2 linked regions of the Canis lupus familiaris genome follow. The protein of the gene in region 1 interacts with the protein of each later gene in a biochemical or structural test. Links are inferred from orthologs where the notes say so. Each region holds a gene or a part of one and is shown in the gene's direction. Other genes may lie near its edges.

Evidence for each region.
Region 2: the proteins of TLE4 (region 1) and PAX5 form a complex in vitro, tested with the Homo sapiens proteins (2 studies listed by BioGRID). The link is inferred for Canis lupus familiaris from reciprocal best matches to the Homo sapiens genes TLE4 and PAX5.

What each region holds. Positions count from the first base shown.
Region 1 is NC_049222.1:79,913,623-79,919,833, reverse strand, and holds the start of TLE4 (transducin-like enhancer protein 4), read left to right. Parts: upstream 1-2,831; 5' UTR 2,832-2,933; coding exon 2,934-2,978; intron 2,979-3,713; coding exon 3,714-3,811; intron 3,812-4,906; coding exon 4,907-4,970; intron 4,971-6,160; coding exon 6,161-6,205; intron 6,206-6,211. UniProt on the Homo sapiens protein: Transcriptional corepressor that binds to a number of transcription factors. Inhibits the transcriptional activation mediated by PAX5, and by CTNNB1 and TCF family members in Wnt signaling.
Region 2 is NC_049232.1:53,702,895-53,708,331, reverse strand, and holds part of PAX5 (paired box protein Pax-5), read left to right. Parts: intron 1-3,746; coding exon 3,747-3,944; intron 3,945-5,437. UniProt on the Homo sapiens protein: Transcription factor that plays an essential role in commitment of lymphoid progenitors to the B-lymphocyte lineage. Fulfills a dual role by repressing B-lineage inappropriate genes and simultaneously activating B-lineage-specific genes.

The sequences.
Region 1 (6,211 bases):
CCACAGAGTTCTCCAACCTCTTATTTTGAGGGTGGAGAACGTATTTGCTGAATTAAATCGCTGAAAGTATCTGGGGATGGAGTTTTTACATTGCGAAGACTATCCATCACAGCCTTCCTTTGCACGGGCCCTCCAGGGTGCCCCGCGCGGGGAGAAGCCCATAGAACGTGTTTGTCCACTGAGGCTCGGGATGTCACCAAGAAGATCGGTTTTGCACTCACGGTGAAGCATCTCTGCCAATGTCTCAAGTTAGAGTAGGCAAACGACACCGAGAAACGAACATCTAAAACGGACCCTTATATTGGTCAACCCTCACCTGGACTTTTCCTGAATTCCTCCACGCCCCCAAAGGTTAGAGCCTCACTCACTAGGAAAGGCTACCAGCCGCGTACCGTCTCCCCGTAAACCAGGGAGCTACCCCACCCTACCCCACCCTACCCCTAGCTAGCTGGAGGAGGACTAAGGAGGAAGACGCTGTCGGCCTCGGGCCGCCCCTTCTCGCCACCGAGTCGGTCCTCGCCTCTTTAGCCGGTTCCCTAAAAATGCGCCCCCACCTGCCTGTGCCCCCGCATCCCCCCCACTCTTCCGGGGCTTATCCCCACGTCGCCGACCCGCCCTCTCTCGTGATCCGCGAGGCCCGGCCCGGTTCAGGCTTGACTTGAAAGAACAGGGAAAAAAGGGGCAGTCTTCTCCCGTCTGGTCCGGGGGGAAGGAGCATCCCAGGGGCGCGTGGGCGCTTCCTGTCCCGTGTCTGCGACTGGTACCTCGTGGACGCTGCCCTAGGGCGCGGTGCGGGCACCCCCTCCACAAAGTTTCCTTGGGAAGAGGGCGACCCTTGCCCCCGGGCCTCCAGCCCCACCTCGGGACTCGGCGGTTCCGCCCCGGGGCCCGCGAGCCGCGCGACTTGGGGTGCTTCCCCGCACAGCTGCTCGGGGAACCCGGCCCCGCGTCCGGGCTAAACGGCAATCACAGCCCCCTCGGGGTTCGGAGGGGCGCCCTCCCGCCCGCGCCCCGGGCTCCCTGCCCGGGTGAGCGTCTCGCAGCTCAGCCTCCCGCTCTAAACAAGAACAGGGGCCCGAGTCTGCGTTCACACGGAAAATTATGCCGGCTCCAGCGGCGCGTAAAATTGATGTGAACCGAACGGAGTGGGATCGGCGTGATCCTCCCTCTCTGGTCTCAACAGGGGTTTCGGCGCGTTACACAAGGCCGAGCTTGTCTCTTTAAGGAGACATTGGACCCTAATTAGTCCGCATTCCTGGCGCGGCCGAGGAGCAAGGGGCTGAGGGTGTTTGGGTTGGAGCGGGGGGCGGCTGGGAAGACGAGACTCGGAAGAGGACCTTCTGACCAGCGTCGAGTCTTACCGCCCCCTCCACCCTCTTTATTTTGCCGCCACCACGGACCGCCACCAACACCCAGTTCTGAGGATGCAGCCAGGGCAGCGGCGGCGGCGGCGGCGGCGGTGGCGGCGGCGGCGGCAGCAGCAGCAGCAGCACCACCACCACCAGCCGCCGCCGCCGCTTCTCCCAGGCCCACGTTACTTTGATTGACAGCTGAACAAATGTTTCCCCGGTTCGAACGCTCGCGCTAAGGAACGTCGGCGAAGACGAAGCTCCGCCTTGGGCGGGCCATCTCCGCTCCGCCTCCGCTAACCCCATCCCGTTCCGTTCATTGGTCCGAACCGCGGACGACGCCCGGCCCCCACGTGGGCTCCAGCCCGGCCGGCTCCGCCCCCCTGGCTCGCCATTTGTCAGCAGTGAAATGATGGGCAGTAACACAGAACGGCGATTAATGTTCAGCCGCCTCTGATTGGCTGCCGGAGACGCCTCCCGCGGCGGGGGTGGGCGGGGCGCTTGGAGAGCGCCCCAGAGCGGTCGCGTGGCGGGCCGGAGATTGTAGTCAATCTGGCCGAATCCTGGACCGCGGTCGCTTGGGGTGGACTACATCTCCCGGGATGCTCCGCGGTCCCTCCACGGACGGTTGTGAATATGTATCAGAATGTTAATGATTAGCTGCTGCTAAATTTGGTCAAAGAAGTCACCTACACAGAGCGTGTTGTTAGAGCTGTTCTGAGCGGGTGTTTGGGCTGTTGGCTGCTTTCTTCCCCCTCTCTCACACACTTGTATATTATTTTGAGGTGGTGTTCGCAGAGTTTGAAAGGAGAGAGAATTAAAAAAAAAAAAGCCGCAAGCGTTTCACTCTTTTATTTTTATAATCCCCTTCAATTTGGGGTTAAAAAAAAAAAAGACAAGAAAACAGGAAGGAAGAAAAATAAGGAAATGAGATGTGGTAAAAGAAGCTAAAAGGTGCCTTTTAAAAGATCGTTGCTGTGAAGTGAAAAAATCTCCAGAGAAACCAAAAAGCACCGCCGAGACCTCTTCCGAACCAAAGGAGTTTGTGTTTGCTTTTAGGAAAGAAGAGAGAGATCATTCATTCGGAGGAATAACAACCAATTAAAAGACAAATAAAAAAAAGTTTGGAGTGGGACGAGCGAGCGGGCGGGCGGCGCTGCCGGCGGGCGCTGGTGCGCGGAGCTCGCACTTTCCCGGCCCGGGGGAGCGGCGCGGCGGCGGCGGCGGCGGCGGCGGCGGCGCTGGGCTCGGCGGGCGCGCCTCGGCGGAGCGAACGGCGGAGCGTTGCCGCGGGAGAGGCGCGCCGGACAATGCCCGCGGCGGGCCAGTGACGCCCGCGAGGAATGCCGAGCGGCCCGGCCGCCCGCACCCAGCCGCCGCCGCCGCCGCCGCCGCCGCCGCGCGTTCCTGCCGCCCGCGTCACGCGAGACCCGGCGGGGGCCGGGACCGCCCGAGCCGCCCCTCGGACCCGGCCGGCCGCCTCCGCCGCCGCCGCCTCCGCCGCCGCCGCCGCCGCCTCCTCGGGGCCCTTAAAGCCAATGAGCCGCGCGCCTCTGCCCAGCGCAGCCAACTAAAGCGGTTTGGATGATTCGCGACCTGAGCAAGATGTACCCGCAGACCAGACACCCGGTGAGTGCGGGCGGCGGGGCGCGAGCTCGCCGGGCGCGGGGACTCCCCGCGTCGCCCCCCGCGCGCCGAGTTGTCCCCCGCACCCGGCGCGGCGGCACTCTGGGGGGGCGTCGAGAGGCAATTGAGTTGTAGCCATTTTCTTATTGTTGTCTTTGAAGCCCCGGGAAGCCGCGCCGAGCCGTTCGCCGGCCCCGCGCCGCGACTCCCCGAGCGGGGGGCGGGGGGCGGGGGGGCGAGCGATGGAGGAGGCGCGACTCCGCGCCGGGGCGGGGAGGGCGCCCTCGGCGGCGGCGCGGCGGGTCCGGCCGCGGCTCCGGGAGTGCGGGGCGCCGGCCCCTCGCGCCGCGGGCCCCGGGGACGCGCGAGCGAGCCCGCCCGCCGGCCTCGCAGGGTGGCGGCCGCGCGTCCCCGACCTGACCGCGGCCGGACGCCATGGCGCGAGTCCCCCCGACGGGCCAGTTTCGATTCCGGGTGGGGAGGGAGTGGGCGCGGCGCGCGGTCTCGAACCCGCGGGGTCCGGGCTGGGCCGCAGGACGCGGGGGCCCGGGGCCAGCCGCTGCCGGGCTGCGCGGCGAGGCGGGGGGGGGGGGGGGGGGGCGCTACCTGAGTTTTAATCGCTCTTTGCCTGCCTGCGCGGTGACCCCCCCGCCCCCCGGCGCCGCGTGGTGTGTTTTCTCCATCTCCCTGCCTCGCCTGCGATGTGGGCTAATTAAATATTTTATTGTTGTTCTTTAGGCACCGCATCAGCCTGCTCAACCCTTTAAATTCACAATTTCCGAGTCCTGTGATCGGATTAAGGAAGAGTTTCAGTTTTTACAGGCTCAGTACCACAGGTAACGATATTGACTCTAGCTGATCCTCCTGTTTGCTTAGCTCTCGTCTCCTCCCCCCCACCCCCCACCCCCAGTTTTTTAGGCCGCCACAAAGGTGATATTATTTTTACTTGTGGGCAGAAAGGGCAAGTCAAGGCCTCTTTTCCTCGGGCAGGTGTAAAGAAATTAAGCATTCCTCCCTTCTCCTGTAAATAAATAAAAAAGGAGGCAGAACAATCGAAACTGGGGAGACTTAGAAAATGCTGAGGCCAAACTTTCGATATTGATTTATTGGGACCAGGAGAATGGAAGGTTGGGAAGATTCTGGGGCCCTTTGACTTCCCTTGGTTCTTTATTACTCCGGGCTTGATTCCGTCTCACTTTTTTTTCTGCCATTCCACTGAAATACCATGAACGGAGAGCCCTGGGAAGTCGCCAGCGAGAGATTTCATTACTTTTATGCTGGAAAAAAAATGTTTTCTTCTTAGAGGCGATCGTTAAGAGTGCCTTCGAAATATTTTTCTTTGCTGGCTTTTTAACGACGTGTAATTTTTATTTCTTAAATTCAAGAGCCAAAACGAGCCACTGAACCCGATCCACACTTTGCCCCTGGGTGGTGGTATTCAACTTGCCTCTGTTTTGGAGGGAACAAATAAGACATCATTCATAAGACACGCTTGATTCATATTTTCGTTAATGTCTTCCCCAAACGTTAAAGAAAAAAAACTCCATTGTCACATTTTGGGGGACCTAAATTTGTGCTTAGGTATGTAGACATTGTTGTTGTTTGTTTGTTTGTTTGTTTTTTCCCCTGGTTTCATTAAATGAATTTAGCAAATGTTCATTTCTGGATGTGGGTCCAGAATTAAATTGGCTAGAGGTTTTTTTTCCCCTTAAACAAAAACCCCACATTTGATCCTCATTGAAAGGGCAAGTCCAGGCTGGTTCCAATCACCCCTTTCTCTCCCACCTCTCCTTCAATAATGAGGGTGCTATTTAAGACAGTTGATTTGGTCTTTTCGTAGGTGATGATTTAGGGGAGGGAATGTGTATTTACATTTGAAGAATGTAAGTCAAGGTCTGCATTATACTTAGATTTCATTATGTCTTGAACAGCCTGAAGCTGGAATGTGAGAAACTCGCCAGTGAGAAGACCGAGATGCAGCGGCATTATGTCATGGTAAGAAAACTGTGTCACAGATTCAAAGTGCCTATTAGTTTAGGATACCAAAAGCAGGAATATGTTCAGATTGCTGGAGGCTGCAGGATAGATCGCAGTCACAGTGCCAGTGTAGTTGAGGTTGTGGGAATGTGATCATTAGCAACCTCGTAATTCTAGGATGTTATAACTTGCCTCTGACAACCAGCTTTGATTTGAATTTTCGAAAAGTTCAGCTGCGTGGGGTATAATCCTCTGTGCTTTGTTTTTAGAGATTGGGGGGGGGAAGAGACCAACCTCGTTTATGTTTTGTTTAGTCACAAGCAAAATGTTTTTGCGTTAGTGGTTTTCTTTGTTGTTTCATTGCCCTTTTTCCAAACAATCTTAACCAATTTTTCTGTATACAGTGAAAATTGTAGTGTTTCATTTCTTTTAGAGAATGATGGCTATCAAAAGACACCAGACACTGTTTCAAATTTTTCTGCTTTTTATGTTCCTAGTGTGTGTGTGTATTTGCATGTGCTTTGTGTGTTTTCAGTTTCTGTGGTGTTACATTGGTTTGAGGAGTGTTGTCGGTCTCCTGTATAACTGATTTGTTCTGCCAGAATTTCTGTAATGACAGTTACACTACACATCCTAAAAAAAAAAAAAATCAGATCTGCTTTTTCAGAAGTCTTACGAAGCATGTTTTTATGCTTGTTCATAAAGGCTCCAGAGTAACTCATTCATTTCCTATCAAGACTTTTTTCCTTTCAATGTATGAACATGAGCGCTACACTAAAAATGAGAAACGGAACTCTGAAGTAGCACCACCTTTCTGAACAGATCTCTCAGAGCATCAGTATTTGTATAAGATGCTTGTCATTAAGCTTGTCCACTGTGCCTAGGAATTAGAATCCATATGGTACTAAATTTTCATCAGATCTTTTTGATTCATCTGCTTGTGATGTATAAAGACAACTGGAGATGTTAAGAATGCTACATGTGAACTTGATTTTCTTAGTTTTGTGAGTTATTCTCTTAGACTCTGTGTCTTAGGGTAGCTGCTGGTTTATTAAGCTAAGTGTTCCTCCTTAGCGGCATAGGTATTATGGATATTTTGCTTTAGGTGAGGCTTTTATGTTTGCTTTAAACATACTTTTGGGGCATTTGGAACAAACTAGGGAGACTGATGAAAGGCACGTAATTAATTGCTTTCCCTTCTTTGACAGTATTATGAGATGTCCTATGGGTTGAATATAGAAATGCACAAGCAGGTAAGT
Region 2 (5,437 bases), on another chromosome or scaffold:
CTTGTTGCTATTTGAAATCTTCTCAGGGCGAGATCGAGCCCTTCTCCGAGGGGACGTCCAGATGCCCGATCCTCGTGTTCTGGTGCCCGGGAGCCCTCCAGATCGCCCCTGGACACTGAAGGGGACGAGGACCCTCCCAGGTCCAGCCGGCGGCCTCCCGAGGCCCAGAATAGATTTGTCACTAGGTAGAGTGGCACTCGGAAGTTATGCGCCGCTCCGGTGCCTGGCCGTTTAAGTTGTCAACAATAAATTGGAATTTCATAGCTCATTATTTTCATAACTAAGAACCACAGTGGACAAAATGTCACTCTAATTAGAACTGCCTTTTAAGAAACAAGTTCAGCCCTAAAACAGTGTGACTGGGAATTTCTGAACTGGGGCTGTTCCATCCACTGACTTTTTCTTTCTTTTTTTTTTTTTTTTTTGGTCACCGAAGAATTTGATGGGCACACTCCGAGTGACAGATTATAGAGAGTGTGCTGTGTGTGGTGGCCGTGGTTTTCAGAGGCTGCATGACAAGGCAGGCAGAGTCCCTGGGGCAGGCAGAGACCCCGTCATCTCGGGAAGGTGGCGGTTTGCCAGGAGTGTGGGCTTCAGTCCACAGAGCTCGAGGCTCAGGAGGGGCTCGAGAGGCACAGCCTGGTGGCATGTGAGGCCCATTTAAATCCACCCAGAAAGCCTGGCTCTTGTCTTCTTTCACTGGAGCCTGGCTGGGAGGTTCAGGCCGTTTGGAATTGGGTGGTATGTTACACAGTAATAAACACTCAGAGGATTTTAATCCGCAGCACGTGCTCTTTATGTTTTGCAGAGCTTTTCCTTAACCATTCTGCGTCTCTGCCCGCGTCCTGGGAGGCAGGCTGGGCAAACGTCCTCCCCTTATACAAATGGGGTATCAGAGGCCCAGAGAGGCTAAGTGATTTGGCCAAGGTCACACAGCTCATTAGTGTCAGAGACCCTGACTGACACACCCAGCTCCTTACTCCAGCTTTTACTCGGTGTTTTGCACCGAACTACACGGTGTGTTGGCGGCCGCCGTCTGTCTGTTGTGTGGAAGCCAAAATGCTGCATGGCTATTTTGCTGAGATGAAAGAGCGGTTCTTCAGTCTGATTCCTCACTTTACGCAGTTGCCAAATGGGGTCTCCCCTGGGGTGTCAGGGTTGCCTTCTAAGGGCCTGGCTGATGTGTCAGTCAAAAGGCAGACAGAGAGGTCCCTTGTCAAGCCACGGCCTGGGCCTGCCGTGGTTGGTGCTGCTCAGGTGAGATGGGTGGAGAGCCCTGGGTGCTGCCACCGCCCGCCAGACAAGGGGGGCGGGCGCTGTGGGGGATGCTCTCCCAGCTGCTGTGCCAACACCGCATTCCCATTCCACTCCTACGTTTTGAGTACTCGGCACAAGATTGTCTGTGTGTCTGTAACCTCCACCCCAGACAGTGCCCGTCCTCACAGGCCCTCGGTGGCTAGTGAGTGAGTGAGTGAATGAATGCAAAGATGCAGGTGAACTGCCTGGTGAACGGTAAAACTTTCTACAGTGGCCAGGGGTCATCATCATCATTATTGTTTTCATTTTCACAGTTTGCCCTAGTGTGAAGAGCACTGGATTCCGAATCAGATCTGAGAGCTGACTTCCTCTAACTTCCAGAAGGGAGTTGGGCAAGTCAGTTATTCTTCTAATCATCAGCTTCCCCTTCCATAAAACCCTGCTGGCCCCTTAGGATTGATGTGAGGATCCAGATAATTTGAGGAAGAGCTCTGTAAACTTTAGAGCACTGTGCCTAAAATAAGGAGTTACTGTGTTGATAGTAACAAATGACTTTTTATCATAAAATTGGAAGCTGCTGAAATTGCTGTGTGCCTTGATTGGGGTACCTTCCTAAACTTCTGGCAAAGTAAAAATTTCTTGGATAGTTCTTAAAGCCTGTTTGTCACTAATAATAGTGTTTCAGTAATTACAGAAAGAAGGAGGATAGGTTGGGTTTTGCCTTATGGTCTCTTCTCAGTGAAAAACAGAATTTCCACTTCTGTATTACTGTTCCCAAATTATTTCATCTGTTTCTAGACTATCCACTAACTTTGCCCTAACTGGATTTGCCCAAACTGAGAATTTCAGCATCTCTTTAAATGTAACTAGTCATTGTTCTTGGGTGACACTCCCCATTCTTCCCAGAGGAGAATCACCTCTTTCTCTTACCTATTATAAACTCTGCTAGGTTGAAAAATTACCAGTCATAGGGGTGCCTGTCTGGCTCAATTGGTAGAGTGTGTGACTCTTGATCTCGGGGCTGTGAGTTCCGGCCCCACGTTGGGTGCAGAGTTTACTTAAAAAAAAATTACCAGTCGTTTCTAAAATGTCTCCTTTGCTAGAAAAATTCTCAACAGCAAGATAATCTCCTTTGCAAGAGAAGTCAAGAATTCCTCTGTAAATGTTGAGAGACATCCAGCAAAGGCTCAGATTCAGAAAAGGAATCAAGTAATTTTTTTCCCCTGAAATGATCTTTCACGGCACTCTTCTCCCCGGTCTCGGTTTTACTGTAAAACCCTGACATCCTATTTGTGTTAACGAGGAAGAGCTGATAGCATGGAAATGTCCTTAGAAACAGCGATTTACCTCAGGGGAGGTCCCTGAAAGAGCTGCAGTGACTTGTGGTTGGCTTTTTTTGATTGCTTGGGTTTTTACTTATATGTAACACATATTTCCAGTTAATTCTGGAATGCAACACTCCTTTTAATTTTATACCAGGGTTGTCATATTAATCTTAAGGCAAAAAAGCATGCATTTTAGGGGACATTTTCACAGAATGCAGATGGAATTTGCTAGGGGATGTGAGTGCTGGTAAATTAAAGGTACAAGCCAACTTTCTGGGGAAATTTTAGCTCAGGAGGCTGGGCCTCCATCCTGGTTTGGCTAGTGGGTCTTGTGTGACCCTGGACAGGCTGTTTAACCTCTATGGATCTCTGTTTCATGCCTATGGATGGGGACCCATTCATTCATTTTTCATTCATTTGTTCAAAATATCTATGTGCTTTAGAACTGTTGTGCAGATCAAATGGGAAGGACTGACTTGAAAGTTTTCTGTAAACTGTAAAATGGTAGATAAATGTGATAGATTAATTAATTAATTAATGCATAGCATCTGGACCAACACTATCCTATAGAAATACAACGTGAGCCACATTTGAAATTTAAAATTTCCTGGTAACATTAAAAAAAGGGAAAAAACCAGGTACAATTAATTTTACATATTTTATTTAACCCAGTATGTGAAAAATGTGATTGCATCAGCATGTAACCAATATAAGAATTATTAATGAGATATTTTATGTTCTGTTTTTCTACTAAGTTTTGACAGTCTGGTGTGTATTTTACACTTATAGCACACCTCAATTCAAATAAGCCATATTGGGCAGCCTGGGGGGCTCAACGGTTTAGCGCCGACTTCAGCCCAGGGCGTGATCCTGGAGACACAGGATCGAGTCCCGTGTCGGGCTCTCTGCATGGAGCCTGCTTCTCCCTCTGCCTGTGTCTCTGCCTCTCTCTCTGTGTCTCTCATGAATAAATAAATAAAATCTTTAAAAAAATCAACAACAACAAATGAGCCATATTTCAAATGTTCAGAAGCCCCATATGGCTAGTGGATGCTGAATTGGACAGCACAGATCTGGATGTTTTCCGGACAGAGTAACTATTTTGTTGCAAATGTCCATTTTGCTTGTTCCTCTTGGCTAAGCTCCTTTCTCCTTGGGTCCTAGGTATTATGAGACGGGGAGCATCAAGCCTGGGGTAATTGGAGGATCCAAACCAAAGGTCGCCACGCCCAAAGTGGTGGAAAAAATCGCTGAGTATAAACGCCAAAATCCCACCATGTTTGCCTGGGAGATCAGGGACCGGCTGCTGGCGGAACGTGTGTGTGACAATGACACGGTGCCCAGCGTCAGTTCCATCAACAGGTGAGGGGTTGGTGCCTTGGGGGACTAGGGATCTGGGTGGAGTGGGGCATTCTGGAGGCTCTGTGGGTGCCTTTCCAAAAGATCTGGTCTCTCCATTCATCAAAGCCCCTAAAGGGTTGTATCAGACAGGAGGGGTGCTAATGGGGCTTGGTGGGTCTCTCTATTGCCATTCTTGTCTTTCCAAAGTGCACAGGAGTTCTAGGCCTGGGGAGGGAAGGCCATGTCAGTATCCAGGCTGCTTCAGATTCTTCTGATCCCAGAGTGATTTTTATCTCTCCCTTTACCACCTGCCTCTGTGTGGGGAGCACCTAGCTATGAATTGTCCCAATCAGGCCCTACAAATGTCACTTCCTTGTAAGCCCATGCTCAAAGTCTTAGCACTGGCCTATATCAGAGCTTCCCAGGAATAAAATCCCTGTCTTCAGTTTGGGCAGAGGTTGAGCCATGGAGTGGCTCGAAAATCGAGCCTGGACTTAAAGTTGGGAGATTTAGTTCTTTGTCCCAGCTCTGCCGGGAACTCCAAGTGTGGCCCTGACAAAGCTCCTCCTCTCTTTGAGAGCCCCACACCTTGGAGGTTCTGATGTGGGTCTGTGATCTCCAAAAGTGACATCCAGGACACTAAGATGCTGTGGAGTTAGGGGCTGCCCTCTACCCAGTTACCCTCAATCTCACCCACAGAGAGAAAGAACCAGAGAAATAGCATGAGTAGGTTCCATACCCAGGCATGGGATATTTCCGGGAGCCACATAGGCACCTTCTTCTCCACAATTTGATCTGGGATGTGTCTAAACGGGCTCTCAGAGCTTTAAAAAATTCCCGAGAAAAGGGGCACGTGGGTGGCTCAGAGGTTGAGCATTTGCTTTCAGCTCAGGTCGTGATCCCAGTGTCCTGGAATCGAGTCCTGCATCGGGCTCCCCACAGGGCACCTGCTTTTCCCCCTGCCTGTGTCTCTGCCTCTTTCTGTGTCTCTCAATAATAAATAAATAAATAAATAAATAAATAAATAAATAAATAAATAATAAATATTTTAAAAAGGAGGGGGAGAATTCCTGAAAGAAAGTTTTCTATTGTAGATGATGCAGTCTCAACTCCATCTAAACCCACAGAAGTCAAGGATGAAGTTGTGAGATAAACAGAAATGATTGTTGTCTAAACTCCACGTGAAAAAAAAAAAGAGAGAGAAGCCAGCAGACTGAAAACATAATCAGTTCCTATCTCTCCGAGGTCACACCTGCCCCTTGTCAGGACAGAGCCTGAATGGGCATAGGAGACCCCTGACCCCTGGCTGAAGGAGGTGGTTAGACTAGAAAGTCTCAGCGATCCCTTCCGGGCCCAGCGGTGGTTTCTTCTGCGTTGACTCAAATGCACAGAATCACTGTATGAGAGTGTGTGTTGACGTTCTGAGTCCTGCTGTTTCATTACCGTTAGCCTGTTTTCTTTCTCTCAGCAAATCTTTACCTTGGCCCAGACATCCTGCAAGGTGCTGAGAAGAG